Linked DNA regions of Notamacropus eugenii. The protein of the gene in region 4 interacts with the protein of the main gene of each other region in a pairwise test. Links are inferred from orthologs where the notes say so. Each region holds a gene or a part of one and is shown on either strand. Other genes may lie near its edges.

Region 1 (7,571 bases), on a different chromosome or scaffold from region 4:
TAAGATAATATAATGTATTTTGCAAACCATAAGGCACTATGTGAATGGTGGTGGTGGTAGTAGTAGTAACAGTAGCAGTAGTTGTGGTATCCATATTTCTATTCTCTTCTTCTATCTGTAAGGACAAATGCAGCATCTGTTACTTCAATTTGCTTTTTCCTTTTTGGTTAAGAGGCTTCGCTAATTTGTAATGTGCCTCAACTTTGAGTCCTCATGCAGGAACCAGGATAATTCTAGAAAAATGGCCTTTCAAGAAAAAAGCATATACTGTCATCACCTTGCCCTCCCTTTCACAAAATCTTTTCTGTACATTTCCACTAATGGCCCACAATACTGCAAATAGGACCTCACATTACTTTGATTCACTGCATCGTCATTGGTACCACTTAAATTATTGGTTTGAGTGCATAGTGCTAACAGTTCATTCTGTTTAGGTGACAGCAATGGATACAGCAGAAAGCCATTGCCTGATAAGTCACTCAAATTGCCTGCCTCTAAGAATGGCCACAGGCTCATATGCAAAAAACTTTCAACTCATTACTAAGTACTAACTCACCATCCCCAGCAAATTTTTAGCATCATTTTCAAATTGCAGAAAATTCAACTTGCATCTAATTCTGAAGGTCAAAGATGATCAACACAAGCAAGGACTTCACAATTTCCCTATAATCACAATGAACAAGGGGAGGGAATCCCATAATTTTTATTCCCTCACCAAATCTGACATCTAAGTGCAATACAAGAGAAATACATCGCCATTTTGTGCCATTGAATACAAAGCATTTCATGCACTTGGAAAACTCAAATGTAAAGTATGTACACTTTTGGCTCCTTCTGTGCAATCTGCTTGCTAAATGGCAAAAGAGACCTTCCAGGAAACAAAAACCCACCAATTAACTTGGTCAAGCAAAACTGGAAATTTAGAAAGGAAGCAACTAGTCTGCTATAGGAAGAGGAGATTCTGTCAGACAGTTTGATGTGAAGGTATAAGTGGATCAGGGATGGGGTCGGTATCTTGACTGGGGTAGAGGAAGGGACACACTGACAAATGGGGAAGGATAACATAGGGAGGAAGGGAAAAGAAAGTTCAAAGAGTATAAGAAATGTTGATGAAGAAGGAGATTTTAACATTAGTATACAACCAGTCAGATTAGTTTTCATCAGAGTGATTACTTTTTCCCCCTCTTTTACAGCTTTGCTTGACCAAGTCAATTGGTGAACTTTGTTTCCTGAAGGTCTCTTTTGCCTTTAAGCAAGTTGTAGATGGATGGGGCTGGGAGAAGACAGCTAGAGTTAGTAAGATGGAATGAGGCTAGCAGTCCGAAGGAAGAGGCATGGTAACTCACATTTTCTATCATGAATGCTTAAAGATTTACAAAGTGCATGTCTGTCAACAATCCTGTGAAGAAAGTGCTATATGTATTTAATCATCTCATTTTACAGGTGAAAGCACTAACAGAGGTTGGTAGGAAAGACTTGGAAAGGGGGCTTAGGTGGGGTGAAGACTTGGAGAGGCAGAGTTATAAAAATAATAGCTACCATTCATAATATGGGTTTACTAATTATTTCTCTCAAAACAACTTATTGAAGTAAGTACAACAATTACCGTTATCCCAGAGTACCTACCTCCTGGTTAGCCTATGGAGAAAAGAAAACTTAGCACCCTATCTAAGATAGGTAGCTGTTTTCAAGTATTTGAAGGTCTATGACCTGGAAGAGATATTGTATTTTTTCCATTTGGTCCTAGAAGGCAGAAGTAGGAGAAATGATGGATGTAGTGAGAAACAGACTTAGTCTTGATGTAAGGGAAAGCTTCCTAACAACTAGACCTATTCACAAGTGGAATGGGCTGCCTCAGGAATTAGTGGGTCCCCTCTCACTGGAGGTCTTCATGTGGAGGCTGGATGCTGAAGACGCCATAGAGAAGATTCTTGTTTAGATGTAATGGGTGCTTCCATCCCCTAGATTCTGTGATCCCCATTTTACAGCTGAGGAAACTGAAGCTCAGATGGGTTAAGGGATGTCACTTTGTGGCATTGCTAGAAAGGATGAGAAGCAGGATTTAAATCCAGATCACTCCACAGTCCAGCTTGTGCTCTTTATACTGTACCACTGGTGGAGAGGGCAGGCAAGGAATGGAGATGGAGATAAGAGAAGAGGTAGAGGATCTCAGAGACAGAGTTGGAAGGAAGAGAGATGGACGTGGGAGAAGAGAGATACAGGAATAGGCTAGGAATAGAGGGAGAGGAAGCAACAGAGTTGGACCTGGGATGAGGAAGAATGGAGTTTTGAGGAAAAAGAACAAGGTTGAGACTTAGGAGGGCTATGGGATAGGCTCAAATGAGAATTTATATAAATACCTTTACAAAAGGCTGTGTAAATGTCAATTATTAGTGTTAATGGATGGGGGAACGAAGATGGGAAAGAGGGAAGAAGCTAGGAAATAGGGATGGGGTTGAGGGAAAGAATGCACTGAATGGGAATGCATGGAGAAAGGGCTGCTGCTGGAAGAAGGAATGGGAATGAAGCCGGGAACTGCAGCTGGGGGGTAGAGATGGACCTCGGGGCTGGAAGATGTTCTGGATGGGAAGGGAAAGGTGTGGGAGATGGTTCTGGGAGAAGGGATGGGGGTCTGTAGAGAGAGCTGACTTTAGGCTACGAAAAAAGATGGGAGTTGGAGGAAGAGGGTTGAGGTTGGGGGGTGGGGGTGGAGTAGGAGATTGACCTGAGAGAACGGATGGGAGTTGGTAGAGAGGACTGAGGCTGGGGGTAAGCCTCGAGAGAAAAGATGAAGCCTATTTTGAATTTTATATCATGTTTCAGGGTATTCTCAATTTGAGAGGAGAGGACTGGAGGGGGAAGGAGATCGGTCTGAAAGAAGGGAAAAAAGTGGGGCTGAGGGCTGCATCTAGATGGTCGTGGGAGGATAAGATTGATTGGGGGAGAAGTCTACAGCTAGAGGTGGGAGACAGGTTGGGAGAAGGGATGGGTGGCGCAGAAAAAGACTTGGAGGAGGGATGCAGCTTGGGTAAAGGGAGGTGGAGCTGGAAGAAGGATAACGTCGGCAGCTGGAGGGGGAAGGTGGAGCTGGAAGCTGGGCTGGGCTGGAGAGGTACAGGGAATGGGCTGTGGGAGGCAAAGAATTGGGACTGGGCCCAGCTGGGGATGCTAGCTGCCCTTAGAAAAGGTGAGGAGTGGGAGTAGGCGTGCCGAGGCCCAGCTGGAGCTGGGCTGTTCCTCACCCTGGGGTCGCTGAAGGAGAAACCCGGCAGGAGGGGCAGCCCGTGCACAGGCTTGGACATCATCGCCACAGCCGCTGCCGCCTTCTAGAGCCCAGCTTCTGTCTATCCCGTTGCCCTGGCGACTGGAACTCGCACGAGGGCTGTGCAACCATGGCAACGCCAAACATTCGCAGGGCACTGAACAGTAGCAGACAGAACGGGGAATGACGTATCTGCGCCTGTGCATTCCGGTGGTGGCGTCCTCTTTGCACCCTTGTGAACCCCTTGAATAGGCGACCTTGCAGCAGTATGAGAGTGTTTTCTGATGCTGGATGCTCCGCACCAGTGACAGCATGGTGGGGTGGGGGGTGGGGGGATGGCCTTCTGCACGGAATTATGACATTTAGAGGAGTTGGATTTCCTTTCTTTTCTTTTTTAAAATTTTGATTATGAACTTAATAAGCTGTAAACATTTCAGTACACAAAGAAGAAAAGCAGAGAATTGTATGGGACACAATGAACTTCTGTTACGCAGTTTAAGAGTGTAGTAAATTTAGAATAGTAATGACAAAATTTCCCTGTTTGACTTGGTTCATTTTTTTTTTTAAGTTTTATTGATGTGTTTTGGTTTTACATTTACAGATCACTCCCACTCAGTGAGAGGCCTCCATAACAAAGAAATACAGTTAATTACACTAATAAAATAGTGACTTCATCTAAGTGTGCACATTTCACATCTGTAGCACTACCACCCCCATTAAAAAAAAATATTTTCTCTAAAAAAGAAAAATTTATTATGACAAATATGCATAGTCAAGTAAAATAAATTCCTTCAATGGTATACACAATATAGATGTAGATATAATTATATCTCATTTGGCATCCTAAATCTGTCACCTCTCTGTAATGAATAAACATTTCATCACGTGTCCCCTGGAATCATTAAGGGTCATTGTATTGATCATAATACAGCTTTCAAGGTTGAGCTTTACAGCGTTCTCACACAAAATTGTTCTCCTGGTTCCACTCATTTCATTATCAGTTTATTAAGTCCTCAAAATTGTTTTTGTAATTGTGATGTTATAAGTTGTCCTGGTGCTGCTTCCTTTATTCTGCATTAATTCATAAAAGTTTTTCTATGTCTCTTGAAATCATATATTTCCTCATTTTGTTCAACACAGCAGTATTCCATCATGGTGATCTATCACAATATATTCAGCCATTTCCACAGTTAATGGACTTCTTAGTTTCTATTAAATATTTTTGTTTATATATAAAAGTTATTTTCTTCTTTCTTTGATCTCTTTTGGGTATAGACCTAGAAGTGGTATAGCTGGGTCAAAAGGCAATCAATAGCTTTTCCCTCTGTCTCCCACTCCCATCCCACCTTTCCTTTTTGCTTCCTGTTACTAACTCCACATTCTTTTCTATCACAGCATTTCTGAAATGTGGCAAAAAGTTTAAGAAGCCCTGCTCTATTATAACTTTTCTTAAGAAGTGATGATGATAAAACAGCATTAAGTTTGTTGCCTTTTAAGTTTACCCATATTGTGTTGCAAACAACCACTAATACAATCTTTTCCCCATCTGTGAGAGTATCTACATGTTCACAGGTGACAAAACCTGAAGTCAAAAAAAATTTATCTCTAATGTTGATATTTGAAGGCATCAACCAACCATGGGGTAAAGGATGAGACTTTGTCCAGGGTTCCTGAAATTATATGAGTAGGTGAAGGCATATGTATTCTGCCTGTTTCTCATGTTATCCTGAGGTAATTGTCCTGCCTTTTTTTTTCTGAGCAAGAGGTTTGTTACCAAGTTGTGCACCTATATTTTTAAATGGTATTTGGGGCAGTTTCAACCTGTTGTTCTTAATCTCCCAGAAAAGGGGGGTGGGGAAAGAGAAGAAATTACTCTCTAAACTAGAGCACAGTGGGTTTTCAGTTGAATGAGAACTAAATTCCTGATGGTGAAAATTGATTTTGTGACTGGCTACTGAGGGAGGTTGATGGATGCTGTTTCACATTGGCTAGGTTGGAGGAAGGAGAGAAGGACCTTGTGGCGAATAGATTTTGATCTTGTCTGATCCACTTAATAACCTATTACACTCTTAAGTACACAATCAATAAATAGCATTTATTGATTGTGTACTATACATACATACATACACACATATACAAAATAAATAAGAAACAGATGTTAAGTATTGGAGGTAAGTGGGAGGGAGATTCAGGAGCAGGGAGGATCAGGAAAAGCTTCTTGCAGAAACTGATTCATAAGCTGAGATTTGAAGGAAACTACATATTCTAAGAGACAATGGTAAGCATGGAGACAAAAAAATGGAGTCCTTTATAATGAAGAATAAGAAGGCTAGTTTGGCTAGTCTAGGGTACCAGAATGAAAGTAATATATAATGAGACAAGAAAGATACTTTGGAGCCGGGTTGTAAAGGGTTTTAAACTCCAGAGGAGTTTATGTTTGATCCTAAGGCAAGGGTTGTTAACATTTTTTGTGTTCATCATGGACCCCTTTAGCGGTCTGGGGAAGCCTATAGACTCCTCATAATGTTTCTAAATGCATAAAATGAAATACATGAAAGTATAAAATATACAATTATGTTAAAATACAGTTATCAAAAAATTTTGTACCAAAAAAACCTCACAGATTTCAGATTTAGGGCCATTGTCCAAGAGGTAAATAAATAAACTGAACTTTATTGAAAAGAGGATTGACATGGTCAGTGCTATCCTTCTGGCATAACACTTTGGTAGCTGTGTGCCAGATGGATTGGAGAGAGAAGAGACTTGAGGGAAGGAGACCTATTAGGAGTCTACTGAGCAGGGAGGGGGGAGTTGAGAGAATAAGCATTTATATAGCATCTCCTATGTGTCACAGGTAATGAGGGTTTGTGAGTAGGGAGTGTGTGAGTGAGTGAGGACCTCTGAGTAGGAAGAAGAGGTTGTATGTTTGAGATATTGCGGATGAAGAAGCAACAAGTTTAGGCAAATGATTGATATGTAGGTTAGGAGAGAGTGAGAAATTGTGGATAACACGGAGGTGGCCAACCTAGTAATGGGAAAGATGGTGATTCCCCCTTTCTCTTCTACTACACTGCTTTTGGATTTCATTGGACCTTTCTACCATGCCTTCCCTTTTCAGGGTTTTCATTATCCTGAAAGATTGAATCTGCCTGGTACTCACATTTTTTGGCCCCTCTAATTGGACACTCTTGGCTATAGGTCAAGGCCATAGGCTGTAAGGCTTTTATTTAAGAAAAGGGTTCAATGTATTCTTCTCCCTATTTCCCACCAGCTACACTGCTTTTGGTGCTTTTGGACTTCTCTGGACTTCTCCTTCATTCCCCAGCACCTGGGTACCTCCCCTCCCTCCTCTTCTCCCTGTCATCTTCCTTTTGTGTGTTTTGGACATACTAAATTTGAGTTATCTGTGGGACATCTATGTCCAAAAGGCAGTCAGTGTTTTGGGACTGGAACTCATGAGAGAAACCAGGTCAACCTCAGGAAGATGTACATTCAAGGCTTGGGAGATAGTCTGCGTAAAGTTATAGAGATGTCAGATGGAATGTCATTTAAAGGAAACACCAAACATGGTAATTTCACAAGAATGTAGAATATGTGTAGGATGATAATATGCACTAAACCTAAAAAGGTAGGCTGGAACCAGATTGTGAAGGGCTTGAAAAGCCAAACACAGGAGTTTGTTTTTTATATTATATGCAAGAGGTAGCCATGGGTATTTCTTGAACAGGAGAGTAACCAGGTCAGACCTGTGTTTAAATTTCATATCCAGGTCCTCAACTCCAAATCTAGTAACTTATTAACTTTGTATGTTATAAATCTTAAACAGTTTTACTGCCCTCCTCCAAGGAATTAGAAATCACCCCATAAATGGGTAGGGCACAAGGTATGCCACTTCATTAAGACTTTTGGTAGATTCTTTAGTCTGTTCCTTGGCTAATTAGGGAGAAAGTGGAGGCAGAGCCTGGAAAGGGTGAGTCATCCTCATGGTCGTTATCCATTGTGGCACTGTCTTCTATTTAAGGAATGACCTATGTTCAGATAACTTTCCCCTCCAGAGAACAACGTGCTATTTAAATAGTTAACCGAGTGCTCTCTTATCATTGTGTGAAAGCAGAAACTAAGTCGAGGGCAAATGTGTGGAACTGGTGAATCTGGATAAGTTTTTGTAGAGACTGAAGTCAACCAAATGTGAGAACAAATTGGGATGAGAGACAGGATAATGTCTACAGGTCTGAAAGAATAGGGCAGGGCTTGGGAAAACTGTAGAAGCATTTGGTGTGATACATGATTTACTCCTACTTGTCCTCAC
Region 2 (7,412 bases), on a different chromosome or scaffold from region 4:
GAACGCATCTGAGAACATAGCTCCAAACACACCTTCCTCTTGTTGCTGCTCTGACTTTTGTCTCGCTCACTTTTTTCCTTCTCACCGTCTTTCTGTGTGCTGTTTTCTTCATTCTGGTCATGGTCCCCACTGTCATCATCCTTCAAGCTGAAAGAAAAAACAAAACAATGTTCCTCCTATGGCTGAACTATCTCTTCTTCATCCAAAAGAACCAGGAGATTCTAAGATTCACTGTCTTGAATAAAGAGAAACCCCCTAAATTCAGCGTGGGTGTGGAAGATGACCAAAGTTAAAACAAGGAAAGGACTCCTGGCAGCTCCCAAGCAGAAAGCCTATGTCCGCACATGAAGACCCCGAACAAACCACAGGCATCAAAAGTGCATCATCCCAGAATGCCAGGGCTCCAGCCTGGCCCTGCTAAACCCTCTGGGTGCCCCCTTCCCAATTCAACGCATAAGGATCGGGCACTAATTCTAGGACTGGAGAAAGACAGGAAGGACTAACTCAAGGAGAATGGACTCGGCACAAAAGGTACTCTAAATCAACAACAAAGTGGGAGCTCTGAAATCACTGTTGGCTGTTGCCCTGTAGCTCAAGGGAGGTATGTGGTTAATGCAACTAAGACTAGAAATGCTCAAACTATACCCTAGGTTAGAGGCATTAAATGCATGAATTTATTATAGAAAAAGGTGATTAATTCAGGTTCCAGCTCCCCTGAATAAGAACCCACCATCAACCAACCTTCACTGAGCATTTGCTACTTGGAAGGAGTGGGGGATGAGAGGGCAATGAGCCCTCCTTGCTCCTTCTGCTTTCTCTTAAGAGATCAGCTTCCGATTATTCTAAATACATCTCATCCATGGCTAGTAATTCTTGTGTTGTCTTACTAAATGCTTGCTGACCCACTGACATGACGTGACAAGTGACTAGACAAAGCACCAGATGAATGCTGCAGACAGTAAGCGCTATAACAGGACACAGGAGCTACAGGAAGGGCTCCATAGCATTGGACAGATAAAACAGAGATGAGAGCAAACACAGATACTGGGCAAACGCTTTTCCTAATGAAAGAAAACTTGACTCAGGAAACCTTCCTGAGGAACCACAGAAGCTGAGGCCTGACTACACGGTTCTACCTTCAGTTGAGCAACATCTGTGACAGTGAGGTACTCAGTCTTTATGGGAAACCTCCACATCCTATGAGGACACTCTCTCCACTCTGCCTCTGCAGGGTCTACTCCATCCTCCTAATTCTACCCCTACCCCAAGGAAAACAAAGCCTCTCCCACCTGCCAGCTGGCCAAAGCCTTCCCAGTTGCCTTCTCTTCTCTGGGTTTAACATTCTCAGTCCCTGGAATCAACCCCTAGAAAACCCAGTTTCCATTCCCCTTGTGATCAGAGTCTCCTTGTCTACCCTTTCCCCTGTCCCCTAGCCCTTCCCCTCCCCCACCTTGGGTACACACTCTAGCTGGCCAGTTTCTTTCCCCAGATGCAGTGCACAGGACTGAACCCACCCCTTAGACGCCCTGTGATCAGGGCAGAGGACAGCCATGGCCTCCTTAGCCTGGGACATTGGGGTGTTCACTGAGCCTCTCCCATTCTGGACTTGTACGGGTGATTTTTTTTTTAAGACAAATGTAAGACTTTATATTTCTCTTTCATCTTATTAAATCTGGTCCTCAGCTGCCAATTCTACCATCGTGGGACATGGATTCCAGTGATGTTAACAATACATTGCAGCTTCTAGGACCACCTCAAACACTTAAAATGCAGGAACCCTGATTCTGAGCAGAAATACTCTTATCCTGTAACTGAACAAGTCCGCTTTAGCAACATGAAATTGGAGTTTCTCTTCACACACGTCTACGAATCGACCGTACCGTGTCCTAATCTTACAACAAAGCTCTGTATTATTCCAAGAAAGTGAAGGAGAAACCTATCTGAGGACAGAACGGTGGGAGAAGGGTGGAGGCCTTGGAAGTACATTTCCTCTCGGCAACCCAGTTACTTGTGAGACATGCACTGCTTAACAGTAACAGAAGATATAAGGAAGTGGACTTTGACAAATTTCTCAAGGAGTGTTTTCTGTGCCTGGAAAGAAGGAAGCTAGGGTACTAGTCAGGAGATCTGAGTTTGGGTCTCATCAATGTCTTCACCAAGTCCTTTTCCCTCTCTGAGTCTCAGTTTTCCCATCTGTAAAAGGAGGGGGCTAGCCCTGAGGCCTGGGGCCCCTTCCAGGACTTCTATCTTGGCTCTGTTACTTCCTAGCTGGGTGACTCTGGGCCAGTCACTTCCCCTCCTGTGAGAACTCCTGTAGGGCTCACAAGACCACGGGCCTGGGGAGGCAAAGGACCCCACGAGTCCAACCCAGCAGAAAGAGAGCCTGGCCCAGCTCAGGCGGGAGCCGGTCCTCGCCCCTTCTCCAAGCCCTTCCTGCCCCTCCTGCACAGTGACTTGGCCAAGGTCACCCAAGGTGCCAGGGCCTGGTCCCGGACTCCCGCCCCCTCCAAGACAGGGGAGCCGCACGTGGTTGCAGGACACTTCCTGGCCCCCCCCCCATCGCCCAGCTTTCCGTCTGGCTTTTACCTCTTCAACACTGGCTGGAAAAGCCCCAGGCCCCGCAGAATGGAAGTTCCCGGAGGGCAGGGGCCCGGCCCCCAAACAGTAGGCGCCTACTGTGTACGGGATGCACCCCACCTGTCTGGCACGCGGAGGGCGCGCTGGGGGCCTTGGGGGCTGCCCTCGGACAGCTTCCACCCCGCGACTAAGTAAGAAAAGGTAAACTGAGGCCCAGAGAAGGGACTTGCGCAAGGTCACAGAGGGTCGTGGCAGGGTCAGGATTCGAACCCAGGTCCTTGGGCTCCACACCCAGCGCCCTCGCCGCTGCACCGCACGACCGCCCCGCCAGGCACCCCCAGCGCTAAGTCATGCGCGCCGACGCGGGGGAGCGACGGGGTGGGCGCCCCGGCTCTGCCCCCCCTCCCGCCTCCCGCCCCAGCCCGGGGCCTCCCTTCCCCCGCCCGGGGGTCCCCGGCCCCGGCCTCGGTCCCGGGCGGGCCCCGGCGGGGGCGGGCTCAGGCTCAGGCCGGGCCCGGGCCCGGGGCGGCGGTTAGGGCCGCGCGCCACGCCACTCACGCGTCGAACTTGTTGTTCATCCTCTCACCGCCGCCGCCGTCGTCTCACTCGCTGACTTCCGCTCCGCCGAGTCCCTCGGCCTCGGTCCCCCCGGATACTTCCGGTGGCGCTGCGTACAGCCGGAAGCACAGCGCGCGAGCCCCCGGCCGAGGTGGGGGGGGAGCGGAGCGAGCGCCTCTTCGGGAAGGCGGGGTTGGGGCTGGGGGCAGGACCGAGCGAGGCGCCTGCGCAGTGCTGGGCTGGGCGGGGGCGAGCCGGCTCCTCCTCCTGACCACGGCTGAGGGCGGAGCGAAAGGGGGCGGGGCAGAGCTGACGACATTCCCGCCCCTACGCGGGGCGTGGAGAAGGAGGTGGGGGGGCCGGGCGCCGTTCAGTCCGCTCTCCTCCTTACAGAAGAGGAAACTGAGGCCAGGGAAGACAAGGGGCAAGAGGTCGCGGGTCCAACCCCCTCAGCTTACAGACGGGGAAACGGAGGCCCCAGGAGAGGGGCTTGAGACCCCTCCAATCCAACCCCTCCATTTCACAGAGGGGGAAACTGAGGCTGGGGGGCAGTCACTTCCCCAAAGCTCGGCTCTGCACATGCCACCCCCTCCTCGGCAAAGCCCAGGCGCCCCCTTCGTCTCCAGCATCCAATACGGGGGCTTTGTTTGGCTTCCAAGCCCCCCCACCCTTGCAGCTGCCCCCGGACCCTCCCTCTGGGCTCTGGGCATCTCTCTGGCCATCCCCCAGGCCTGCAACACGCCCCTCTGCTCTGACCACTGACCTCCCCGGCCTCCTTTTGGCCCGCCCCCATCACCTCCTATTTATCCCATGTGTTCCTTTATATACATTTGCTTATATGTGTCTCCACCTTTAGATTGGGAGCTCCTGGAGGGCAGGGACCATCTGCCTCTTTTCATCTACCTGGTGCTTATACAGAGCAGGGTATACAGTAGGTACTTAATAAATACTTATCGATCAATGATTGTGGTGTCTACAGTCCCTTCCAGCTCTAAAATCTATGATCTTTCACCTTGCGATACCTTCCAGTCTTTTCTAGCAGTTTAATTGTGAAAGAGAAAAGAAATGTGGGGCATTGGCTTGAGGGGATGCTAAGGGAAGGTCAAGAGTTTAGGCTTGGGGTCTTCGGATAGGAAACTGAAAACAGCAAGGACAGGTTCTGCTTCTGAAGGAGTATGATGGGGATGGGATCCAGTACACAAGGGTAAAGTTTGGCTTTGCCTAGGAGACAGACACATGGTCCTCAGAATCCAAAGGGAAGGAGGAGGAGATAAGGGATGCTTAGAGCAAGGGTTTGGGGAGAGGGTAGGACACAGTTAGGGTTATTGTGAATACCTAAGTAGGAGGCCAAGTCTTTTGATGACCAAGTTTGGACAAGGAGAGATTTATAAGACTTGAGAAAAAAAAGGGAAGTTTTGAGAAAAGCAACAGATCAAAATAAAAAGATTGTCTCAGGGCCCAGTTGAGATCAGGTCACATAAATCTGTAATGGACCCAGTAAGGCAAGGTTGGATGACCTCCTCCGTTGGCCACAAGGAACAGAGAAAATGAATGGTACTGGTAGGAGAAAGGGACAAGGAAATTCCATGTAGAGGTCAGGTGATAGCTGAGCTGTTTAATTCTAGTCTGAAGACTTCAGAGGAGAAGCATGAGGCCAGATGGAGTAAAGAGGAATGAGTCACATGGATACGTGGAAGTTGTGGTCAGAGAAAGGAACTTCTGAGTTCTAGATCACGAAGGTAAACCAGTTCTGGATGACAGTAAGATCAAAAGTATGAGCACCCCTTAGAAGGAGGAGGCCAGGGTGTCTGAGGGGAAACAACACACACATTGGAGTCCTTGAGTATGTCAGCAGGAGTTGGGCTTGAGACCATGAGCCAGATACTGAAGAAAGGCAGTGAGTGTGGAAAATTTCAGATTCAGAGTCAAAGGACCTGGGTTAGACTCCCTGCCTCTGTGACTTTGGGCAAGTCCCTCAACTTTTCTGAGCCTCGGTTTTCTCATCTTTGAAATGATGGAATGGTAATACATAACTTTTAAGGTTCCTTCCACTTTCAAATTTATTCTGTAATATCTGGGCTCAATCCCAACTCACAGAGCTGTTAAGCCTATGGATTTGCATTTACTTAAAATTGTAGCTGGGGCCCCCACAGGTGTGTTCACTTTTAGTGATCAGCCAGAAGACATGAGTGAGAAGATATTGCACCAGATTTCTGACAGTATCAGAGGAGAGAAGGGAGTATATTAGAGAGATATTGCAAAGGTGATATTGACAGATCTGGCAACAGATTGGTTGTGGGATGTGAGAAAATGAGGATGACACCTAGGATGAGAGTCTATGAAACTGGAAGGATAAATGAACCTGTTGAAAATCAGACGTTTCTCTCTGCTTCCAGCTGTGACCCTTGGAAACAAGGCTCACTCTCTTTGCACCATACTTTTGGCTTAAAAACAAACAAACCAGGGCTTTCAAAATAGCTATAATAATAAAGATACTATAACCATCAACATAATGATAGTTAACATGTATTTAGGCACAGCACTAACTGAGGTACTGATGACTACAGGGCATTGTGGTCCATTGGCTCATTTGCATGTGACTGTTTTTAGACTTTTAAGAGATTATAACTGAGAAATTATAAATTAAATAACTAGTCAGGGTACCATGGGAAAATCATATAAGGATTGCGGAATCATAACCTGACAAAAAGTTAGAATTTTTGAGATTAAAATCATATTAGAGATGGATTGTTGCTTATAAGGCGACCCTGCATGGAGGCTGGCATTTTCAGCCGCAGAAAAGTAGAATAAAGTGAAAGCGAGGTAAGAGATGGCCAGCTGAAGACAGAAGTGAGAGCCAGCTGAGCACAGGCAGGTGAACGGACACATAAGAAACCAACAAGGAGAAGCAGGCACGTAAGAAGCAATTGTGGCCTGGGCCCACCTTGGACATCCCCTGGGCTCCAACTGTATGGCATGCACCAGATGCACAGCCTTCCCTTGGGGCTGCCAAGTGCTTCTCTCTGCTTCTCCTGCAGCTCTTGGTCTCTGTCTCTGTCTGTCTGTCCGTCTGTCTCTCCCTCTGTCTCTGTCTGTCTCTGTGTCTCTCTCTCCCCATTTCTCTGTCTCTTTGTCTGTCTGTCTCTCTCTTTCTCTCCCCCTCCACTCTCTTTCTTTCTCTCCCCCTCCTCTTTCTTCCTTTCCTCCCTTCTCTCTCTCTCTCTCCCTCTCCCTCCTTCCCTCTCCCCACTCCACTGTACTTTCGGTTTAATAAAAAGGAGGCTTTAAAAATAGCTTTTTAAACAATAGTAATAGGTAGCAATTAGCTCTTACTCTATCCCAGACACCATACAAAGCACCTCAGAGTTATTATCTTATTTGATCCCTGGAGGTAGGTGAGATCATTATTGCAATTTTACAGCTGGGGAAACTGAGGCAGAGAGAATTTTTTTTTTTTAAGTCACTTGCCCAGGGTTACACAGCTAATATCCGAGGCCAGTTTAGAACTCAGTGTTTGTCTCTTGCCTCATTCCTCAGATCAACAACAGCCTAGGGGCGATCGGTTTCTCAGAACAGACACCTGTCTATGCCCTTCCATAGAATCATGGTTAGAAGGCATTTATCAACAGCAGAGTTTGCTCTAGGTGTCAAGTTGCATCAGACATGGCCCAGGGCCCTTGCATCAGGGGAACACTCTCTGGCTTAAGCTAACTTCTTGGCCTGGTGCTTTGGTGTCTGTGAAAGACTTCAACCCAACTTACTGCTAGCATTTCCGCTGTCTCCTGACTACATTCTCTGAAGCCTGGCCCATGGCATTCATGGAAAGGCTATGTGTCCATTAGTTCCCAAACTGCCAGCCTTCCCTGGAGAGGACTATGGGAGGTTGGGGGGGGGCGGTGCGTTGCAGGAAGAGGGGCACAAAGACAAAGCTAAGCCAAGGACAAGCTTCTCTACCTGTCTAGACTTGTGTGTGGTCTCTCACCTGCAGACACAGCCAGCCCAAACCTAAGGGGACTGAGGACCTCCTTCCAATCCTCCCCATCCCCTGGATTCTCTTGTCTTCTGGTCATCTCCTAGCCTCCTTCTGTCGTATCTACTCTTATTTGGCTGGTCTCTAACAAGTAGATAACTGCAATCAAGTTATCTAGAGAGGGTGGTGTAGCCAGATGACAAGAAATGTCATCAGCAGGGACTGTGCCCCCTCCTCCCCCAGGCCATTATGCAGGGGAGCATGGGGACTCTATCCTAGAGTGATGCTGGCTCCATCTTACAGAACT
Region 3 (7,506 bases), on a different chromosome or scaffold from region 4:
CTCTGAGTTCCTTAACCATATAGGTCCCACCCCCAAGAAACCCAGAAATGTATCCAACAAGAATTTCTTAAGCACCTATAATGTATCATACCTTGTTAGGCACTTAGCATTTCAGTCAAAGAGAATCATAAAAACCACATGTCAATGGCTTATATCACTATGTAATTTTAACATGATATGAAATGTCACGCATTATTTACATTATATAATATTATTGGAAAATCTCACAAAAAAGGAAAACCGTCAAATACACCTATCACCCATACCAGCAATATTTAGTTGTGGCCTAGCCAAGAAATAAGTAAAAGGACAAAAGAGAAAAGTGATATTTTGCCTCAAATAATTCACTTTGACAGAAAAACTCTCAAGAAATGAGAAAATAAAATGTTCTCTTTTCACAAAGGAAAACTGAAAAAGAAAGTTTTACATATTCTGTGTCCAAGAGACAGGGACCTTAGCCTCAGGAGTAGCTGAATCATTAAGAATACAAAATGCTAGCTTAAGATTTAATCATGATGAATTTAAGATATCTATACAAAAGCTGTTTTCCTATAAAACATTATAATCAAGTCTGATTCAAACTACACTTCTGTTTACAGAGCTAAGAGATGCAGGTTGCATCATTACTAAACCAAACCAAGCCAAACTGAAACCAGGTGAACATACTTATTTGTAAAACTTTTTTTAAAATTACCTAGTAGTCTAGGAAAAAGAAGTTTTTGGTTTGAAATTAAGTTCAAAGAACAAGAATGAGAATAAAGCAACCTACATTTTAATTACACACTTTACTGAGTCATTAGATAAAACTTGAAATTGTTCTCAAATTGTTCTCAAATATTTAGATATTAATAAGTTTGTTTCAGAGTTAAAAACACTATATCCAACACATTGGTATTTTGTAAATCCTAAACCAAAAGGTTACATATTTTTTGATGTATCTATTTCCACAAGATCAAATGTTACAAAAGCAGTATCAAAACTCAAATGATTCCAGATACATAGCAGCTTTCTAAATACCTACTTGAAAAAAGGACAGGTAAAAAGAAATCATGGTAGTAAATGCTCATTGTAAGACTCCCAAGCCACCTGAATCAACATGCTAGTTTTTCAAATTATAGGCTGGTATCTGGTAGAATGCAATCCAGAACTGTTTAATCTGTTGTCTGAGTTAGTACTGGCTATGTGGTAATCAAAGCAATACTGTATAGTTTTGAAAATCCCCAAATATTAAGAATTCTTTGTGGAACTACACTACTGTTTTAAAAGTTATTTTACTTTACTCCTACTACTACTAACTTGGTTCCAGGGGTAAACTTGTATAGTGAACGCTACACAAGGTTCAATTTGACATAGACTTAAAGACCTGCAAATATTTTAAAAGTTAATGCTTTGTTCGTATGTAAAATTAAATATCCTGCCCTCTTTTTGTAGCAGAACCTTAAGAGTTCTAAAGCTAACAAATTTATTCCCCAACATTTGTACAAACCCTTTATCAACCCTTTATCAAAAAAATCAATGTAAGTGCAGAAGTAATTTAAAAAACCTACTTTGTGCAAGTCTGGGGGAATCATTCCGTAAGAAGGCCCAGAACAAAGTAATAAGGTATACTAGGAAAAGCATTGAATTTGGAGTTGATGAAGATTTTGGCTCAAATACTTAATAGGTCATAGTTTTTAACATCTCTGGACCTCATATATAAAACGAGCTCTATTTAAATCACATATATGTGTGTATAAAAAAGCAACTTTAATGAGACTACACAGGTCGGGTAAGTTTTTCAATCACCGGAAAAAAAAAACCAGAAGGCTGAATGATCAAAGTACTTTTCACAACTGTAACTACTTTTCTAAGGACATAACAAGCACGGCAGAAATGTATGGTCCCTATGAACACAACTAGGGGTGGGGAACTAAGGAAAGAATTCCTCAATGAAATGGAGAGAACTGCTAACTGTAAAAGGAAAAAGTTCTGAAGGAATTATTAAGATTTCAAGTCATTTGCTATGAAACTGTTCATTCAGTTCAAGTGTCATCGAGGTGCTTCGGAGTCTGGGTGTTTTATAGATTTAAAACTGCCACGTAGGGGCTTTGGAGGCCTCGGCCAGAAGGGCAGATGGTAAGCCCCACCAAGGGACACATGTTCCAGCCCCCTTTGGGGAGTGCAGGGCACTGCCTACCCTAGGTCTGTCTGCTTCTCCCGGTCTAAGCTGCGGCTGTCTGGACCCGACCGGGAGGGAAGAGAGACCGGCGAGAAATAAAAGCCCCAGTTCGTCACAAGTTCCGCCCAACGGGGTCAATTTACCAATCCATCTGGCCTCGGAGGGATCGAAGACTCGGGCCTCTTCCCACTGTCCAAGGCATGCGCAATGCGCACACCGGGGGCAAGGATGAATGAATGGAGGGCCGAGGGCAGTCCGAAGCCGGCCCGGCCCGGCCCCCGCCCCTCGCCATCGCTCCTCCCGCACAGTCCGGGCCGGCGCCCAGGAGGGCACGCAAGGTGCTCCCGCCCCGGCTCCCCCGGGCCGCGGTCGCGCACCGCCAGGCGGAGCCGCCCCCCGCCCTCGGCCCCCCGTGCCCCCCAACCCCGGCCGGCGGCTCGCTCGCGCGCGCTCCCCGCGCCCCGGCGGCCGGCGTGGTGCAGGCCCTCCGCGCGTGCCGCCGCCCGCCCCACCAACCCCCGACATTCACCTCGCGGACCGCCGGCGCACGTCCCCACGACGGCCGGTGGCGCCGCCGCCGACCCTCGCCGTACTCCTCGCCCCACGCGCTCGCCACCAGCCCCGACCGGAGAGCCCCGATCCCACCGCCTGCCCCCCCCCCCCCCCAGCTCGGGCCCCGGCCCCGTGTCCCGCAACTTCCCCACCCGGCCCCTAGCCCTCCTCCCTCCCTCCCTCCTCCCCCATCCGGGCACCTCGCGCTCACACCGCCGCTGGCTCCCCGCCGCCCCTCCCCCACCTCTTCTCTCGTCTCGCCTGCCCCCACTAGAATGTGTGCGCTACACGCCGCAGCCGCCTCCCCGGCGCCCCCAGTCACCGCAGTCGCCGGGAGGTCAGCGCCCGACAGAGGGGGAGGGGGCGGCGAGGAGTTTGCGTGCGCGCCGGGAGCGCAGTCCCGCGGAGTCTCCCAGGCCCCAGGGGAACCGGGCGCGGGGACCCGGTAGGGGGTGGGGGGGCCGAAGGCAACACTCACCGGTTCCACAGTCGCCATCTTAGATCGATCTGATCAGACAACCGCTCCTGAAGGGGGGGTAAGAGTAAAAAAATGAAATTCAAACCGGATTGGCCGGTCGCCCCCCACGTGACGAGCGTGTCCGTTTGGCTCGGGCAGCGCCTGCGCAAGGTGGCGGGTGCGTGGGTAACCGAGGGCTTCTGGGAAGTGGAGTCTTTTTTTCCCCCTCTCCCTCCCCTCCCCTTAAGTGAGGAGGAAGGCTGGGAAGAGGACTGATCACGTGGCTACGGAGGCGGTGCGGCGCTGAGCTGCGGGCGGGTGAGTGGGGCTAGGAAGGTGAGGCAGAGGTGGGGCTCGGTCCGGTTGCGAAAGTGAGGCTGCGGCGGGAGGGGGTCTCCTCCGTCTTGCGTTCTTCCTCCGCGTTAGAGCCGTCGGTGCGCCGCCGTCCCCCGGCTTCCCATCATCCCCGTGGGCTCAGCTCACAGGAAGAAACCTCATTGGCTGGGCGCCTCCGCAAGGCTCCCGGGGCCGCCTTCACTTGGCGTCGTTGGTTCCTCCCGCCACCCTGGTCCTCACGGCCGCCTTCATTCTCTTCTCTATTTATTAGTGAACGGAAAGGAGCAGCGGGGACGAGCGGCCGGCGGGACGGCGCGGGGCCGGGACGCGGCTAGCGCTGGCGCCTCCCGGCCATGCCTGCCCGGAGTGGGCCCTAGCAGCGGGGGCGGGAGTGGGCCTTCGGAGGCCCGGCGTTCGGTGCTCGGTGTCCAGCCGCGTCAGGCGCCTGAGGCCAGTCCCCCCCCCCGGAGCAGCACCCGGCGGCCCTGGTCACCCAGCGCCGGACTGACGGCCGGGGCTGGCGGGGCCTGGCAAACAATGAGCCCGGGCCCCCGGCCAGTGACTGCCTCGCGGGGGCCTGGGCTTTTCCCGCCTGCGGTCTCAAAGCTGCCTTACCTCACAAGGGCGCGCGGCCGCCCCGGCCTGGGGGGTGGGGTTCCCGGCCCGAGAGGGGCAGTAGCTGCGGCCTCGCCTAACCACCTCTCCGGGTGGGCCGGCTAATCATGAATCCCCCCCATAAAAAAAAAGCCCACTCCCAACCCCCTCCCAGGTAAATTCCCTCCGGCAGATGGTCAGTTTCACTGAAATTGACGGGGACTGCGTTGAAATCCGCCCCCAGCCCTGGGCGATGTGTCACCCTGGACCCCCTCCCCTCTGCTCAGTACCTAGAATGTTCCAGGTCGGTGCTATTGCACATGGTCTGTTTATTAATAAAACTGGTACAGAAAAAGAAGTCTGGTAATGCGCTACCAAGAGGGCCCTTTGAGGAACTCCCCCCCGCCACTATTTCCCATGCCTTGAAGAATGTCGTCTCAGAAAGTTACCACTATGGCATATACCTGCCTGCTGTTACTGAAGCTGATGTCCGAGGCAGTGTCATACCTATTGTTGAGTGCATAATGGAAGCTGAATTGGCTTGCACATCATTGGGGCTGCCCGTGGGCCTCAAGGTCATCATCTTTTCGTCTATAGATTGACTTTGAGTGCCCAAGGTAATGAATGTAACAGACTTTTATTTTGTATAGATGTATTAGACAAGAATTCCGACAAAATTAAAGAGGATAAAAAAGATATCTCTATAGAAAATACCATTCTTGCTTAAAATAGTCAAAAACTTTTGATTTTACTGGTATTTTCTTCTTAATAGTGGCCACCATCAGACTACCTTCTTGCAAAATTCTTAAGGCTGTTTCCATAATACCAGACTTTATTGCAGGAACCAGAGGAAAAGTGAAGCAGAAATGGAAGTCCCCTACCCATAAAATTTAAATCAGTTCACATAATAAAGTTTTTTTTTTTACAAAGACTAACCTTGTTAATCATTTCCTTCCTTGAATCCAGATCCTGTTTGCATTATGGGAAAAAAAAATTGAGTTCTTGAGAAAAAAGATCGATTTCTAATCACTCCAGCACCTTCCTGATATTTATGTATATACCAAGCATTTTACAGCTGGATTTGTTTAGTTTGAGTGTTTTCTTGGGTGTATTTTTCATCTCATCTTTCATAAATTTAAAATAATTTCAGTGGATTGTAAAGTTTGCAAAAAAACAGTTCATGCCTATTTATTTTGTTCCCCTAGTAGCATCTTCCTTATCAGTCTCTGTCAGAGTGGATATTCAAACACGTTGATTTACCAATTTTCTTTTGGTACCTCCAAACAAAAACAAGATAATACGGGTTAGGCATTCCTAGAAGCCTTGACGAAGTGCTCACAATTTGATGGACTGTATCTGCTACTGTGTTGCTCCGTAAGAGTAAAGATAATGCTTATTCTGGAGGTAGTTTCTAAAGATTTTCTAAGGGAATATCCAGCATTTCTAACTAGATCTTGCTTACTCCCTGACTGGTATTAGGTAACTAAGTCCTTTTATATAAAAGTTGTGAACAATTTCAAAAACAATAGATCAGTTGGAATATTGTGGCTGAAAGGAATCTAAGATTGTTCACTTAGATCAGTTTCTTAATTTATTTCAAACATCTTTAAATTCATCTCTAAGAGGAAGGAGTGATCCCAAAGAGTCAGCATGGCATCATCAAAAACAGGTCATGCCAGACTAACCTCATTTCCTTTTTTTGTCAGGGTTATTAAGCTGTTAAAATAGGGCAGTGCAAAAGTTTTAGCAAAGGATTTGGCATGTTGTTCTGGTGGAAAGATGGAGAGGTGTAAGCTATATGACAAAATACAGAAGAATTTATAGCTGGTTGATGGCTGAGCCCCAAGAGTCAGCATTAATGGCTTTAAGTTATTTCAGGAGGAAATCTTCAATGGTATGCCCCAGGAATTTTTAGCAGCATTTTGGATAAAGACCAGGTTGACATGTTTGTCAAATTCATAGCTGATACCAAGGTGGAGGAATACACATTGGATGACATTCAGGATTCCAAAAGACCTTGATGGGCTAGAACACTGGATTGAGACTTAATAATATGAAACAATAGGAATAAATGTAAAGTGTTACACATGTTGAAAAAGTCCCACAAATACAAGACATGGGGAAGTGTGGCCAGACAGCAATTCATGTGAAAAAGAACTAGGGAATTTATTTAACTACAGATTCAGTTAGTAGCAATTAGCAATGACATGTGGCAGCCAAGAAGCTAAATCATTCTTAAGATGCATGAAGACAGGTATGTGAGTAAGAGGGTGATTGTTTCACTGCGCTCTGCCCTGTTCAGATCACATCTGCAGGGATTGTGTTCAGTTCTGGGCATGACATTTTAGGCAGAACATAGCATAGAGTCCTACATAAAAGAACTGAGAGAGACCTTGGAGAATGCTTAGTCTAGCCCCCTTATTTTACATATGAGGAAAGTGAGGACCAGAGAAGATGTGACTTGCCCAGCTGCACAAGGGGTAGTAAGACCTAGAGCTGACAGCTGAACTCAGGACCTCTGACTGTGGCTGAAGTCTTTTTCCCCTTTCATCATTCTCCTTGAATAAATGAGGGTTCAGAGAAAGGGCAACTAAGACACTGAAAGGTTATTTGAAAAAAGGTAGGGATATCTGCTTGGAGAATAGAAGACAGGGTAAGGGCATGGCAACTACATAGAGTCCTACATAAAAGAACTGAGAGAGACCTTGGAGAATGCTTAGTCTAGCCCCCTTATTTTACATATGAGGAAAGTGAGGACCAGAGAAGATGTGACTTGCCCAGCTGCACAAGGGGTAGTAAGACCTAGAGCTGACAGCTGAACTCAGGACCTCTGACTGTGGCTGAAGTCTTTTTCCCCTTTCATCATTCTCCTTGAATAAATGAGGGTTCAGAGAAAGGGCAACTAAGACACTGAAAGGTTATTTGAAAAAAGGTAGGGATATCTGCTTGGAGAATAGAAGACAGGGTAAGGGCATGGCAACTATTGAGTATTTGAAAGGCTGTCGTGGAAAGATTAGGTTTGTTCAGAGACAGAACTAGGAGCAACCCATGAAAATTATAAAAAGACATGTTGGCTTTTGGTACAGAAAAACTTGACAATGAGAGCCAACCAGAAGTGGAATTGAGAGAAGAGCCCAGTTCCCTCCCTCCCCCATATACACACACACACACACCCCTTACCTGAAATCTTCAAACAAAAGTTGAATGATCTCTGTCAGGTATGTTGTATTGGGGATTTTTTTTTCCAGATATGGATGGGTTGGATCAGTGGTGACTGCGTTTGAAGGCCCTTCCAGTTCTGAAATTCTGTGGCTTTGAATTCAACAACTAAGTACTTACTAAAAGCAGTGCTTAAAAAAATACATTATTCTAAGCAGTGACAAGAAACAAAATATTATTTCTCATGAAG
Region 4 (7,895 bases):
TCACCTCCTGCGTCCACTCAAAAAAGAACTTAACAATGCTTCTGAAATGTGGCACAATCATCTTCTAGCCAGACCTGGGGTCCTAGAAGTAAACTCTTTGCAGCTGGGAGGCAGTTGAAATCATGACAGAGAGCCCTGACCCCCCAGGCTCTGCTCCGATACTTCTTCTATGAGTAAGTCATCCTGTCATCTCTCTTCAAACAATCTTGTGACGTACGCAGGCAAGTCAAGCGCTTTCTAGCCCTGAAGTGCTTGCTAGATCAACCCCAACTGTTACTCCCAACTAATACTTCAATATTTCAAAACCAATTTCCTTCGGTACAAATTTTTACATATGGAGAAGTCACCCCCCCCCTCCATTATCAGTGTGTAACAAGCTTCTGAAACATGACTAAAACCAACAGACCTATAGGTGATAAACTAAAAAATGAAGCCATCAGAAAGGCATTTTCAAAGCTACCAAAATGGGTCCTTATCAAGTCAACAAGCTTGCAAGAGGGAAAATTCAACTAAGAACATGATTTTACCACTCCTGTTCAACTAAATCCTTTGTATCTGTCTCTGGGGGGGAGGGGGAGATGGGGAGGTGATTGGGGTTGAGTGGCTTGCCCAGGGTACATGGCTAGATTTGAACTCAGATCCTGCTGACCCCAGAGCCAGTGCTCTAACCACTGTGCCATCTAGCTGCCCCTCCTTTGTATTTTTCAAAACAACTTGCTAAATAACAAAGACTTAGCAAATATGGTTTTATTGGCCCAGTTTCCAGGAATATAAAAAGATCCACAAATAAAAACCAAAGGGTATAATGAAGAACACTATTTGTATGCTAACTTTTCAAGACAGGAGGGGATATGGTGCGTGAGGGGCTGAAAGCAAGGGTAAATATCCAAGCTCAAGGAGCAGCATCAGCATCCACAGAGGAGACCTGGCCATATGCTGCTCACCAGGCCACGGTGCTGCTCTGGAGCTCTACACTGGTCCTCACTTGAACTTCACCCACTTTCAACAGATCCCTTAACTCTAAATCACAGCTAATCTTGCGAAGAAGAGAATTTCTTCCAACAACACAGAGACAGGATGTGTTTTGAAGCGCTAGATATTCTCACCAACACTGGTACCTCCTGTGGGCTCCACAGGCAACACGAGAGAATTGTCACGGAGTCCTGTCCGCCTCCTTGGATCCACCTGGCAACCCCCCCACCCCCATGTGCTGTTTGAAAATAAAGCCGGAGCAAAGTTATTTTACCCAGGAAAGGCGGCAAGGATAACGGTAAGAATTACCAACGTGCTACAAGATCTTTCACCAGGAGCCACCACAACATTTTCTAAAACCCTTCCCTCACCCATCTGCGATACTTTGACAACTACAAAAACGTTTTTAGACGTTTCCCGCACCTAACTCCGACCGCCAGGAAAAACAAGGAAAAGAGAAAAGAGCCAGCCTCCGCGGCCCAAGCGGTCTGGACGAGCCTTCGGAAAGGGTGTCGTCACCTCCCAAGAAGCCGCTCCTACCGCGCAGGACCCGCGTCTCCCAAAGCTCAGGCCTTAGCCCTTACGAGAGGAGAACGTTTGCGGAACCTGCCGGCACCGCCAATCAACAGCGGGCATCGGCCTGCCAGCCTCCCCTCCAGGACACGGCGCGGTCCGAGCCAGGCCGGACACACCTGGGAGCGGAGGGAGGAGGCGGCCAAGCCTACCTTCGTGTAGCGGTGCGGGGACCTGGAGGCCGGCGGCTTCTTCGGGTCCGGGAAGGCGTCCCCGTTCTCCGCTTCTCCCACGGCCCTTCTATCCATGGCGCCGGGGGGGGTCCCTGGCTCGGTGCACCTGCAAGGACAGCGCAGGTCAGGGCGGAGGCGCAGGGGGGCAGGGGGGCAGCACGCAGGGGGCAGCGCGCAGGGGGCAGCACGCAGGGGGGCAGGGGGGCAGCGCGCAGGGGGGCAGGGGGGCAGCACGCAGGAGGGCAGGTGGGCAGCACGCAGGGGGGCAGGGGGGCAGCACGCAGGGGGGCAGCACGCAGGGGGCAGCGCGCAGGGGGCAGCACGCAGGGGGGCAGGGGGGCAGCGCGCAGGGGGGCAGGGGGGCAGCACGCAGGGGGGCAGCACGCAGGAGGACAGCGCGCAGGGGGGGCAGCGCGCAGGGGGGCAGCGGCGCAGGTGGGCAGCACGCAGGGGGGCAGCGGCGCAGGAGGACAGCGCGCAGGGGGGCAGCGCGCAGGGGGGCAGGGGGCAGGTGGGCAGCACGCAGGGGGGCAGGGGGGGCAGCACGCAGGGGGGCAGGGGGGCAGCACGCAGGGGGGCAGCGCGCAGGGGGGCAGGGGGGCAGCACGCAGGGGGGCAGCACGCAGGAGGACAGCGCGCAGGGGGGCAGCGCGCAGGGGGGCAGCGCGCAGGGGGGCAGCGCGCAGGGGGGCAGGGGGCAGGTGGGCAGCACGCAGGGGGGCAGGGGGGGCAGCACGCAGGGGGGCAGGGGGGGCAGCACGCAGGTGGGCAGGGGGGCAGCGTGCAGGGGGGGCAGAGGCGCAGGGGGGCAGCGCGCCCGCCCTGAGCGGACCCGAGGACGGGGGGCTCGCTCGGCTGCTGCGCTCACAGACGGACGTCCCTGGTCTGGAGGCTCCCGAGGACTGAGCACACGGAGGAAAGGCCAGCCCGCAGCACCGGGCTAGGCACACAGGGTGTGCCACGCAGGGCGGCAGGGGACTTCCACGGGGGAGGGGGAGGAGGCGAGCCTGAGAAAACTTTCCCCGCATCAGCACGAACCACAACCAGGGCTCGCTGCGAGGCCAGTCGGGACCAGAGCCGCGGCGCCCGTGCCCCCCGCTGTGGGGGCAGGACCTGGGCCCCGGACACGGCAGACGGACACACGGACACACGCACACGAGGCCCCGCTGGACGCCTCCCGCCCCGGCCCGTCAGAGGGCCCCGCTCTGGCGGCCTCAGTTTCTCCGGACTGCGCTCCCCAAGCAGCGGCAGGACAGCCCCTCCCCCCAGCCCGGCACTTCCCGGGCTGGAAACCCCGGGCTTCCCCTCCGCGGGCCCCGAGGCGACCCCGCCCTCGCCGCCAGCACCAGAGGCCTAGCTCGGGCGGCGGAGGGGGCCCGCTGCCCACCCCGCCCCCTGGGCCCTCCCGCGGCAGGAGCCCCCGGCGGGGCCGAGCCGGACGCCGGGCCGGAGGCCCCTCCTCCCGGGGGCCGGGCCGCGCACTCACCGTGCGGAAGAGGGAGGCGGGCAGGGACGACGAGAGGAGCCCCTCAGCAGCGCCTCGGGCCGGGCTCGGCCCAGGCCCCGGCCCCGGCGCCGCCGCCGCCGCCACCGTCACGGCCGCCGTGCTGCCGCCCTGTGCTCGCCCGGCCCTCCTCGGCTTCGGCCCCCGCGGCTGCCCCCCGGCCCGCCCGCTCGCTCTCCGGCCCGCCTGGCTGCGCCTCGCGCCCCGAGCGAGCGTGAGCGCGACGGCGCGTGCGCACGGAGGTCCGAGGAGTGAGGGCCGCCTCGAGCCGGCCGTGAGCCTCCGCGCAGCCGCAGCGCCGCCGCCTCGCGCAGCCCCGCGCGCGCGCTCTCGAGCCCGGCTGCCCCTCCCCCAGACGCTCTTCGGGCCTGGCCCTACTCCCGCCCCACCCTCCCCGACCCCGAGCGCCTATTCGCTTCGCTGGTTTCTTTTCCTGCGCTCTGGATCTGTCTCCCCTCAGCCGCCGTAACTGGGGCCTTCACTCCGCCCCTTTTCCCCGCCCCTTTAATAACTCCCTCCACGCACCGGCTTCTGCGCCTGCGCCGCCACGGCTCAACCCCCCCCCCCCCCCCCCCCCCCCAATAGAAGGTGACCTCGGAGGTGCCTGAGTGGAAAATGCAAGTCTTTCAAAATAAAATGAGAGAAGACTAGCCCTGAGCAGGAGGACTCGCGCTCTTTGGCGAACTGCCCACCCCTCAGGGGGCAGACTTCAAAAGTAGACATCACAAGCGGGGAATGAAGGCGCCCGTCCAGCTATGGTTGGAGAGTGAATGGGAGAGGGGGCGATGGCCCCTCAGGCGTTCGGCGAGGGCAGGCCCCAGGGCCGAGAGCGCGCGGCGTGGGGGGGGCGGTTCTCTGGTCGGGCCTCGGGCGCGCGCGCGGCCTCGTGGCGAGTGCTGCCGGGCGTCAGTCCTGGCGTCCGCTTGTGCACGCGCCCGGGGACTGGCGCCGGAAAGGGAGGGGGAGGGGGAGGGGGAGGAGGGAGGAGCCGGAGGCCTGATGTCTGGCCAAACCTCCCGGCTTCTGAGTGCTTACAGCAGGCGCCTAATGCCTGCTGCATTCGATCGCACTGGATCCTGTCCAGTTCCCTCGTGTTACAGAGTGGGCAACCGAGGCCCAAAGCGTCCACGTGGAACGGTGCTTGACTTAGTGTCAGCAGTGGGTGGAAATCGTCACCATTTATTAGGCCCCTGGGTTTACACCTTGGTATCTCTTGGTCTAAAGTCCACCTGCCAGGACGGGCATTCCTTCCACAAGCATTTATTAAATGCCGACTGTGTGCCAGATGCCAGGAAAAGGAAGCAGCTTGGGCCTTCTGGGAGAGGGGAATCCCAAACACCTTCCCCTCCCACAATTCCATTCAATCAGCATTTATTAAGCACCTCCTGTATGCCAGGAGCTGGGGATACAAAAAGAGGCCTCAGGGAGCTTCCAATCCAATGGGAGGGGGAAACACGAATCCAGGATAAATAGGAAATGAGGAGGGAGGCCTTCCCGGAGGAGGGGGCCCTCCCGGAGAAGGGGGGATTCTTGCTGGGATTTGGGGTCAGGGTCAGGAAGCACCTACTACGGGCTTGGGCCAGCGCCCTCCTGTAGACAATGAGGAAACCAAGGCCCAGGGCATCCGAGTGGCTTCATCTGAACCCAGGTCTTCAGCTGCACCCTCCCTCTAATATACCCTCCCTCTGTTCAGACCTGTCCATGGATGAGGGAAGGGACTGAGGATTTATGCAGCACCCACTGTATGTGTTTTCCAAATACCTCGCTGGATCCTCACAATAGTACTGTGAGATTAGTATTATTTATCGTTATTATCCTAATTTTACAATTAAGGAAATGGAAACAAATGGGAAAAGTGACTTGTCCAGGGTCACACAGCTAGTAAAAGTCTGAAGCTGGATTTGAACTCAAGTCTTTCTGACTCCACACCCAGCTTTCTATCCACTGCTCCACCTACTTGTCCATGGAGAGGGATTCTGGCAGCCATATCCTGGCAAATGTTTTAAGGACAGGCTCTCCAGAAAAAATGATTGAAGAGGATGTGCCAATCCAGTGCCAATTTCCCAGGTGTAAATGCTCCCCCAGAAAATGTTAACAATCTGCTCTCTGAAGCCTGTTAAAGCAGCTCCAGCCCACACCTTTCCCCCTCTCCCCATAGGAACTCGTGATGTAATCATCTCTGACATGTGGAGGCAGCTGTGGTGGTTCAAAAGCTGTGCCTTAACGACCCCCATGCTCTCAGGTGCTGATAATTAGGGACATGCAAATTAAAGCAGCTCTGAGGTTCATCTAACACCCCTCAGACTGGTAAAAATGGACACCTTCCCAAATAAAAATAAGGGGGTAAGTACATGCTGGAGGGGCTGGAAGAAAACAGGCTCATTAATGCACTGTGGGTAGAGACCTGGATTAGTCCAATACTCTGAAAAGAAATTTGAAACTATGCCTAAAAAGCTATGGAACTGTGTATACTCTGAACTATTGATACCTTCTCTTTTACCTGGGGACCCTGAGGGTCTTCCCCTCTCAGTTTGATTTTTTTTTTTAAAGTAAAGGAGCCTTCCCTTGAGTAACTACTTAAAGAAGACTATTCATAGAATGGGTGTATCACACTCCAAGTGAGAATGTGATAAGACCTTAGCCTGAAAGGGTCAGGGTCTCCCATCGCATCCTGGGCCATCTCCAGTTGTCCTGATGAATATCAGGCCACTGGACCCAGATGGCTCTAGAGGAGAAAATGAGACTAGTGACCTTGCACAGCCCTCCCTCACGCAAATCAAAGTCAACTGCAAGTCATGTCATCATCTGGATGTCATGGTCCTCTTCGAGAGGGAAGGACAAACATAACAACTTCTACTAGGTCTGTACTCCCCTTCCCCCAAAGAAATCGAAGAAAGAGGGAAGGACTCATGGGTACAAATATGTTTATGGCCGCTCTTTTAGTAATGGAAAAATTTGGAAATTAAAGGAATGCTCATTAACTGGAGAATAGTTGAACAAATCATGGTATGTGAATGACATGGATCAGTATTATATTGTAAAAAAGAAGGGATGTCTCATTTTCCTCCTCTATAAAATAAGAATAATAACAGTCCCCTCCTCATAGACCTGTTGTGAGGATCCAACGAGGTGATATTTCAAAAGCTCTTAGCACAGTGCCTGCAAATAATAGGTGTCTAATTGTTGCTATTTCTTTCCTTCCCATCATTCCTTGTTCTGTCCTCTGGGGTCAGACAGAACTGGTCTGGTCCCCTTTCAGGTACTTGAAGACAGCTATCATGCCTCTCCATCTTTTCTTTCTCTCAATTTCCCCTGTCCTTTAAACCAATTAAAATAGGTTTTGCGTTTTACAGGAAAAGATCTTTTAATATATAATATTTTATATCATTATATATTACGTTCATTATGTTTATATTATTCCATCTATATTTATGATATATTATAATACATGCTTCTTTTTTAAAAATAAGTTTTAGGTTTTGTGTTTTACATGCCAATCATTTTTGGAAATGCCTCCCTTTGCCGTACGCCAAATTGAACTCTTGCTACTAACAAAGAAAGATAGTTAAGACAAGGGACCTGGGTGGAGGCAGCAGGGTGAGGTAGAAAGCGGCTGAACATGAGTCAGAAAAACTAGCTTGGAATTCCTGCTCTGCCACTTACAACTTTACAGTCTGGGCAGATCCCTGAGCTTCTGTTTCCTCATCTATAAAATGAGGAGGTTGGAATAGGTGACTGCCAAGGTGTCTTCAAGATTAAAATCTAAGGTTCTGTGACTTTTAAGTTCTCTTCAGATCCTAGGATTTCACAGTGCTATATCTAACCATGCTTCCTCTAGCCTACACTTGTGAAATTGATTTTTTGGACTCTGTAGAAGACTTTGCATTTATCCCTTTGAATTTTATCTTATTAGATGCTATCTTATTAGATGCAGCCCAGGACTTTAGCCTGTAAGGATCTCTCTGACTGCTCACTATGTCGTCATCATCCCTCCCAGCTTGGGGTCATGAGCATGCCCTCTCTGAGGCCTTTATTCCATCCATTCTTGTGAGAAGCAAGCTAGGGATGGGGACATGATGGGGATTACTGGTTCCTCTCATATTTTCCCAGAGTCTTTTCCTTCAATAACTTGAAGAGGGATTGACCTCCTGCCTCTTTTCTCTTGAAGCTAGAAACTAGAAGCACCCAAAGTCTGGATACTCGGTGGTTCAAAGGAAACCTAAAGCCTTCTTTTCTCTGGGTCTTACCAATTCCATCCCACCTCTCAGGCAGACTTGGTACATTGATCTCCACAAGTAGAGAGAGCTCCATACCAATGGGCTTTGGGACACACACACACACACTCACTTTGTTTGCAAATCTCTGTTGCATTCTGTTATTGGAGGGTAGCAAAGGGATTACTATGTTCAACCACATCCCATGGAGCTGGACATGCCCTCTGGCCTCTGGTGGGACATGTGCCTTGCTGGGATGATAGAACTACTCTTGATTGGTCCCTGGTGTTTGGGAGTGGGGGTTATCTTGATGGTGCCTGGCAACTCAGTCATAGATGGAGAGCTGGAGTCAGGAGGAGCCACCCACTCTGAAGATTATAGGATGAAGGAAAACTGTCTATCTTTGCCTATTTTGGATCTGCTCCTTTGAGTTTGTCTTTTGGGCTTTATTTCCCCTGG

Evidence for each region.
Region 1: the proteins of EIF4ENIF1 (region 4) and EFHC1 interact in binary tests that used the Homo sapiens proteins (3 or more experiments, as listed by UniProt). The two-hybrid records come from large-scale screens. The link is inferred for Notamacropus eugenii from reciprocal best matches to the Homo sapiens genes EIF4ENIF1 and EFHC1.
Region 2: the proteins of EIF4ENIF1 (region 4) and EIF4E2 interact in binary tests that used the Homo sapiens proteins (3 or more experiments, as listed by UniProt). The two-hybrid records come from large-scale screens. The link is inferred for Notamacropus eugenii from reciprocal best matches to the Homo sapiens genes EIF4ENIF1 and EIF4E2.
Region 3: the proteins of EIF4ENIF1 (region 4) and EIF4E interact in binary tests that used the Homo sapiens proteins (3 or more experiments, as listed by UniProt). The link is inferred for Notamacropus eugenii from reciprocal best matches to the Homo sapiens genes EIF4ENIF1 and EIF4E.

The regions. Positions count from the first base shown.
Region 1 is NC_092873.1:118,739,524-118,747,094, reverse strand, and holds the start of EFHC1 (EF-hand domain-containing protein 1), read right to left. Parts: upstream 3,426-7,571; 5' UTR 3,306-3,425; coding exon 3,243-3,305; intron 1-3,242. UniProt on the Homo sapiens protein: Microtubule inner protein (MIP) part of the dynein-decorated doublet microtubules (DMTs) in cilia axoneme, which is required for motile cilia beating.
Region 2 is NC_092873.1:57,580,773-57,588,184, forward strand, and holds the start of EIF4E2 (eukaryotic translation initiation factor 4E type 2), read right to left. Parts: upstream 3,367-7,412; 5' UTR 3,156-3,366; coding exon 3,136-3,155; intron 2,867-3,135; exon of another isoform or gene 2,587-2,866; intron 148-2,586; coding exon 33-147; intron 1-32. UniProt on the Homo sapiens protein: Recognizes and binds the 7-methylguanosine-containing mRNA cap during an early step in the initiation. Acts as a repressor of translation initiation.
Region 3 is NC_092878.1:136,684,625-136,692,130, forward strand, and holds the start of EIF4E (eukaryotic translation initiation factor 4E), read right to left. Parts: upstream 3,366-7,506; 5' UTR 3,207-3,365; coding exon 3,189-3,206; intron 2,790-3,188; exon of another isoform or gene 2,688-2,789; intron 2,383-2,687; exon of another isoform or gene 2,302-2,382; intron 1-2,301. UniProt on the Homo sapiens protein: Acts in the cytoplasm to initiate and regulate protein synthesis and is required in the nucleus for export of a subset of mRNAs from the nucleus to the cytoplasm which promotes processes such as RNA capping, processing and splicing.
Region 4 is NC_092875.1:13,630,418-13,638,312, reverse strand, and holds the start of EIF4ENIF1 (eukaryotic translation initiation factor 4E transporter), read right to left. Parts: upstream 3,339-7,895; 5' UTR 3,205-3,338; intron 2,569-3,204; exon of another isoform or gene 2,551-2,568; intron 1,825-2,550; 5' UTR 1,794-1,824; coding exon 1,698-1,793; intron 1-1,697. UniProt on the Homo sapiens protein: EIF4E-binding protein that regulates translation and stability of mRNAs in processing bodies (P-bodies). Plays a key role in P-bodies to coordinate the storage of translationally inactive mRNAs in the cytoplasm and prevent their degradation.